2 linked regions of the Saccharomyces cerevisiae S288C genome follow. Changing the gene in region 1 together with any one later gene gives a genetic interaction. Each region holds a gene or a part of one and is shown on either strand. Other genes may lie near its edges. The genes, in order: GPI16 and TPT1.

Region 1 (3,933 bases):
GTAGAAACTGATGGTAAATAGTGAGTGCTTCCAGATTATGTAAACTACGTATACTTCATACACATATCTAGATGCTAGATTGTTAGTCTGTTTTAGTCTTTTTTTTCCCTAGGAACTTTTCCTTTAGCTTTAGCAATTTGTATTTTAAGCCAGATTGCAACGTAATCTTATCGGCCTCTTCGACGGTGACCATTCTCTTCACCATCAAATTGTATAGCATACCGAATATGAGTCCCATGATTGTAGATGTTAGAATGATGACGTTATACGGCATACTAAAATCCGGTGTAGACAGGGATAACAATAGGGTAGAGGTTCTCATTTCATAAAGAGACGATGAGGACTCCAAAGATAGCACGGTGATTACAGCTGCATCGATTTCAAAACCATGGTTTGCATCTGGTGGATACTCGGCAAATTGCAGAAGAGCTTTATCGAATTGATAAGTCATTACAATGTCCGTATTAGCTGGAATTAACATCGTGAACTCCAAGTGGCCAGGTCTTTTTCTATCGGCCGCTTGTAAATAGTATTTATCTAAGATGATATCGTTTTCTTGCAATTGCGGAGAGGTAGTAGAAGTAATTTGAAGAGAGGATAGGTAAACTCTCATGAACCATGGCAATGATTCGAAATAAATCAACTTCACAGGGGTATCATTGTCGTTATGGAAAACAATACGCATTCCACCACGATCTTGTCCATTACCAGTCAGAGATCTGCTTACGTGAATTGGGACAGGAACTATGGGAGTAACTTTAGTAGTGTCCGTCGATTCTAAAATAAAGTCGTAGCCCGAACCACCCTCATTTTGATCGTTTGATAAGTCAAAGCAATTATCATGTGTGCTGAAAATAGTATCGTCAACTGACAAAAACGCAGTCCAGGTAGAACGGTCAACTTCTGCACAAATTCTTGTGGGCCTATTAGCAAACAGGTTGCCATTGTTTATTGGTCTGGCAAACAGCTGAGACAGCTTGAAGTGAGTCTGCGAAGGTTCCGGTAGAGGGAAGCATTGGTAAGAATCAAAGGGTTTATCCGTGTCACAACGCAATGTGTTCCCATCCAAAGGTTTGGGGATAGGTCTCTCACCTCTTGCCAAGGCGGAGGGAACGTGTGTTACCATTTCTATGCGTGCGTCCATCTCGTAGTGACAAAGAGCATCTTCATCTTCAGAACAAATAGTGGCAATATCCAAGGAAATACTATTCCATAGAGAGTCGAACAATTTATGACCATCCAAGAGAGATGTCAAACCGGATTTGCCCCTAGTAGGCAATAGTTTTATGAACGGCGTCAAGTTCTCGGTACAGATGGGTTCATTGGGCAACGATGCTCGCATCAGGTACAGTTTCTCGGTGCTATTGAAAAGAGGAGCTCCTATATCAGAAGCATATGACCGCCGGGGAAAGGTCGTCCTTGACTCGTCGATAAAATTTAAAGAAGAACAAAACAATCCGCTCAATGAATTGGACAGTTTTTTCCAATTATGGAACGCCTGTTCCTGATCCATGGCCTGCACTTGCGACCACAATTCCACACCTGAGGCACCTGCCTCTTTTCCAGCATGTGGCAACTGTCCCCACGACAGGGCATCCCAGAATCCTCTGGTAAATCTTAAATGAAACTGACGCGTGGCAGTAGATTCCAACAATGGTGGGATGGCCCGTGGGAAAGTCGTGTAGTGCTCATACGCATCATATGACATGGATGATACGGCCGGGTCAAACGGTTCCGATTGCAGTTGGAATGCAAATGAGAGTAGCAGATCATTGTTGGGCAGCGGCTTCAACACCAGTGCTTCGTCGTACGGATACCATAAACTGTCATTTATACCAATCTGCGACACCGTGTCTTCTGCGAACACACCCAGTAGTAGAGTGCCCAGCATGAAATAGGCCAGTGTGAGGATCATCGTCGTCTTGCCTATGCTTTGTTTGCTTTGAACACTTGTTTCCGCTCTCCTTTTACTTATTGGCTACTAAAACTACGTGTAAAAGATCGCCCAGCGCAAAAAGGTCCGGCGGTTTCAAATAATCTCGAACTATTCCTATAATATGCAAAATAGTAGGTAGGAACAAGTCGACTCTAGGCAGATAAGGAAGATGTCCGGTAAATGGAGACTAGTGCTGACCGGGATAGGCAATCCAGAGCCTCAGTACGCTGGTACCCGTCACAATGTAGGGCTATATATGCTGGAGCTGCTACGAAAGCGGCTTGGTCTGCAGGGGAGAACTTATTCCCCTGTGCCTAATACGGGCGGCAAAGTGCATTATATAGAAGACGAACATTGTACGATACTAAGATCGGATGGCCAGTACATGAATCTAAGTGGAGAACAGGTGTGCAAGGTCTGGGCCCGGTACGCCAAGTACCAAGCCCGACACGTAGTTATTCATGACGAGTTAAGTGTGGCGTGTGGAAAAGTGCAGCTCAGAGCCCCCAGCACCAGTATTAGAGGTCATAATGGGCTGCGAAGCCTGCTAAAATGCAGTGGAGGCCGTGTACCCTTTGCCAAATTGGCTATTGGAATCGGCAGAGAACCTGGGTCCCGTTCTAGAGACCCTGCGAGCGTGTCCCGGTGGGTTCTGGGAGCTCTAACTCCGCAGGAACTACAAACCTTGCTTACACAGAGTGAACCTGCTGCCTGGCGTGCTCTGACTCAGTACATTTCATAGCCCATCTTCAACAACAATACCGACTTACCATCCTATTTGCTTTGCCCTTTTTCTTTTCCACTGCACTTTGCATCGGAAGGCGTTATCGGTTTTGGGTTTAGTGCCTAAACGAGCAGCGAGAACACGACCACGGGCTATATAAATGGAAAGTTAGGACAGGGGCAAAGAATAAGAGCACAGAAGAAGAGAAAAGACGAAGAGCAGAAGCGGAAAACGTATACACGTCACATATCACACACACACAATGGGAAAGCTATTACAATTGGCATTGCATCCGGTCGAGATGAAGGCAGCTTTGAAGCTGAAGTTTTGCAGAACACCGCTATTCTCCATCTATGATCAGTCCACGTCTCCATATCTCTTGCACTGTTTCGAACTGTTGAACTTGACCTCCAGATCGTTTGCTGCTGTGATCAGAGAGCTGCATCCAGAATTGAGAAACTGTGTTACTCTCTTTTATTTGATTTTAAGGGCTTTGGATACCATCGAAGACGATATGTCCATCGAACACGATTTGAAAATTGACTTGTTGCGTCACTTCCACGAGAAATTGTTGTTAACTAAATGGAGTTTCGACGGAAATGCCCCCGATGTGAAGGACAGAGCCGTTTTGACAGATTTCGAATCGATTCTTATTGAATTCCACAAATTGAAACCAGAATATCAAGAAGTCATCAAGGAGATCACCGAGAAAATGGGTAATGGTATGGCCGACTACATCTTAGATGAAAATTACAACTTGAATGGGTTGCAAACCGTCCACGACTACGACGTGTACTGTCACTACGTAGCTGGTTTGGTCGGTGATGGTTTGACCCGTTTGATTGTCATTGCCAAGTTTGCCAACGAATCTTTGTATTCTAATGAGCAATTGTATGAAAGCATGGGTCTTTTCCTACAAAAAACCAACATCATCAGAGATTACAATGAAGATTTGGTCGATGGTAGATCCTTCTGGCCCAAGGAAATCTGGTCACAATACGCTCCTCAGTTGAAGGACTTCATGAAACCTGAAAACGAACAACTGGGGTTGGACTGTATAAACCACCTCGTCTTAAACGCATTGAGTCATGTTATCGATGTGTTGACTTATTTGGCCGGTATCCACGAGCAATCCACTTTCCAATTTTGTGCCATTCCCCAAGTTATGGCCATTGCAACCTTGGCTTTGGTATTCAACAACCGTGAAGTGCTACATGGCAATGTAAAGATTCGTAAGGGTACTACCTGCTATTTAATTTTGAAATCAAGGACT
Region 2 (3,272 bases), on another chromosome or scaffold:
AACTGTTGGATTCAAAAATTCTTCTGCCGTTTCTATTATTGTCTCAGGTACTAATTTTGTGTTCACATTAATAGCATTTTTCTGTATTGATAAAATCGGCCGTAGGTACATTTTACTGATTGGACTACCTGGTATGACTGTGGCGCTGGTTATATGTGCTATAGCGTTCCATTTCCTAGGTATTAAGTTTAACGGTGCTGATGCAGTAGTGGCATCTGATGGATTTTCATCTTGGGGCATTGTCATTATCGTATTTATTATTGTGTATGCAGCCTTTTATGCCCTCGGTATCGGCACTGTTCCATGGCAACAATCGGAATTATTTCCACAAAACGTCAGAGGTGTAGGGACATCCTACGCTACTGCCACCAATTGGGCAGGTTCTTTAGTCATTGCGTCTACGTTCTTGACTATGTTACAAAATATTACACCAACGGGTACATTTTCATTCTTTGCCGGTGTAGCATGTTTATCAACCATTTTTTGTTACTTTTGTTATCCAGAACTATCAGGATTGGAGTTAGAGGAAGTTCAAACAATTTTAAAGGACGGATTCAATATCAAAGCCTCTAAAGCTCTAGCTAAAAAGAGGAAACAACAGGTGGCCGAAGGTGCTGCCCATCATAAACTCAAATTCGAACCTACACAGGAAATTGTAGAAAGTTAGACTGCTACACCAACAAAAAATAAAAGATAAAGAACAAAAAAGAAGGAAGAAAGCTATAAAAGGGAGACAATTCATTTCATCTAATCTTAAAAGTTTTTATTTAAATATATAAGTAAGAGCGAAGTATTTAAAAATAAAAATTCATAAAAGTTGAGCTTGATGAAAGTTATATCTTTTCGAGCGGTATGTTTCTTTCGTGTAAAATTCTTCTTAAAGTATCTAACTTCTCCTCATCTTTCAAGTTTCCTTTAACTACAACTTTTTGGATCAATTCAACGGGAATACTGCTGCTTAAGTAAACATTATTGAGCGACCTGAACATTTTCAAAGTTTGAAAGAATAATGGAGAATGGCAGTCGATGAAAATATAGACGTTACTTGAAGAACGCATTCCACTAATAACTCCCTTCGCGTGCAACATCCCCGGCGATAAATGGACATGATTTCTACTCATTGGTGATATTGCTCCGGATTCAATAATCTTTATGACAGATTGAAGATTTGTTCCATGAATTAGTTCCTGTGGTAACTGCGACGCTTCAGTAATTGGTACGAGAACCTCATCTGATGGCTGAATCGATTTGATTGAATGTCCCTGAGTAGCACAGATCCATTCTTCGTCCGCTCCTAACGTTTTTATATGAAAGCGTTGTTTGTCATTTTCCTTAACAATGCGATGGATATCATCCACCGTACATTTATGAGTTTTCAATCTATTATGAGACAATAGTTCTTTCAGCGGTGTATAACCGTTTGAGTCAATAGTCAACTTTTCTTTCACCGCTGTATGTCGAAGCAGATATGATAAAGCTTTGGAAAGCTGTACATCCCTTTTATCTTTTTGTAGTACCTGGCGCATTGTCAAGTCCACCTTTCCCAGTCATTCTGCTCAATTCTGTAATAATGTATTATGCATTTTGCCATTATTTTGATGAGCTTTCCTCGCGTCACGGTGTCAGTAAAAAAGAACAAATACATCACGAAGACAGAAATACGGACAAGAACCGCAGAAGACATTAAAGTCAAAACATGAAGCTTAATTCAACTCGTGTAAGTATCTTTAAAGGAGATACACTTCCCATTCTTGAATTATTTTTTTATTTAATTTGCCTTATTTATTCAATTATTTATTATGTGAGCACCAGCTGAGTCTAAGACTTGAAATTAATTAATTCGGGCTGATTCAAACTTGAATGCATCAAAATATAAGATTGAATCAAAATGAAAAAATGGTAAAAAGCCGTACCAGAAATCAAGAGATGGAAAAGGTACTCGGAATGATTCCAACCTTCTTCCTTTTTATTTCGTCTGAACAATGATTCAGGGAACCTGGTAACGTAAATTATAGATGCCGCTACCAAAGCCACAAGTTCCCACGTAATTGCGTTCACTTTTATCCTCTCTTTCAGGTTTTCTAAACCATCAAAGGTGATTATTGCGGTTAATAGTGGCAAGGAACAACACACTACTGATACCGAAATGAAGAAAACTGTTTTATTGAATCTTTTCGAGGAAATGAGTTTGTCCGTCAATATAAAAAAGTATGCCACTAATCCTATGAAGTTCATTAAAAGGGTAAAAATTTTGAAGAAAAACACGTAATCATAGAATAGATAATAAAGAATTGTGATTTGTGATGATATCAATAAGTTGATATTCGATAAATACGAAAACTTCTGCCAATGTTCGAGATGTTGTTGTAGAGAAATATTTTTGACGAAGTGATAAATGAAATGCACCATACAAAATACAAAAACGTTCAATAAATAAAAATTGAATACAATGTAGTCTGTCATTGTAGTGGTGGTGGGGAACAAAGGTATCAAATAAAAGTCCGTGAAAAATATTAGGAGACAAAATGACAGCATCGAACCCAAGAGATATATTAGTGCTACTAGTGACTCGTTCCTACTGGATTTATTTTTGTACTGTTTCTGCAATTTTGCCAAGTCATGGAATGGAAAACCCTTCTTTGTTTCTTTTGTCTCTGCATTCTCGTTCGAATCTGTCCCCCTAGTATCATTGCTCTCTTTCTCAGTGGTTGTCTCGCATTTGACTGGGCTTTGCTCTATTGTAGTCAATGAAACCATACTGTCAATATATATGTACCTTTATACCAATATTATATGCGCTGACAAGAACTTTAAGAAATTAATTTCCTTTTCTACTTTTTTTCATTTTTATTTTACTTCTGCGTCCATATATCCGGACCATATATATGAGTGTAAATCATTTAGCTGTTGACACCATTGAGTATTTACAATTAAAACCAATTGAGCTCAACAGGCTTGCGTTGAATAATGTTGAGCTGCCCAACGAGCCCTTTTCTCGCGGAGTGCTGTCCGAATTGTCCGAGTTTTTATACGGACAGAACTATCGCTTCTTTGAAGTATATATAAGAATAGACCGGCTGTTCACCCCGTATCCTCCTTTTCTATCTCTTGGCTTGCTATGTTTCAATGTCAGCCTTTGCTTTTATGTGCCCTTGCATACACGTGAATATGTCTATTTTATGTAAACTATAACAGCTGGTACTGCCCGTACATATGCTTAAATTAAATAGCTATTGACGAAGGCCCATTTTCTCGTAGAATATCAGGGTAAC

The links.
Region 2: mutations in GPI16 (region 1) and TPT1 together harm fitness more than expected from each alone (negative genetic interaction), as found in Saccharomyces cerevisiae (2 studies listed by BioGRID).

The regions. Positions count from the first base shown.
Region 1 is NC_001140.6:481,923-485,855, forward strand, and holds GPI16 (GPI-anchor transamidase subunit GPI16), read right to left. Parts: upstream 1,916-3,933; coding exon 83-1,915; downstream 1-82. Other genes in the region: PTH1 (aminoacyl-tRNA hydrolase), read left to right, coding at 2,106-2,678; ERG9 (bifunctional farnesyl-diphosphate farnesyltransferase/squalene synthase), read left to right, coding at 2,923-3,933. UniProt on the Saccharomyces cerevisiae protein: Component of the GPI transamidase complex. Involved in transfer of GPI to proteins.
Region 2 is NC_001147.6:125,164-128,435, forward strand, and holds TPT1 (tRNA 2'-phosphotransferase), read right to left. Parts: upstream 1,527-3,272; coding exon 834-1,526; downstream 1-833. Other genes in the region: myo-inositol transporter ITR2, read left to right, coding at 1-667; IZH4 (Izh4p), read right to left, coding at 1,819-2,757. UniProt on the Saccharomyces cerevisiae protein: Catalyzes the last step of tRNA splicing, the transfer of the splice junction 2'-phosphate from ligated tRNA to NAD to produce ADP-ribose 1''-2'' cyclic phosphate.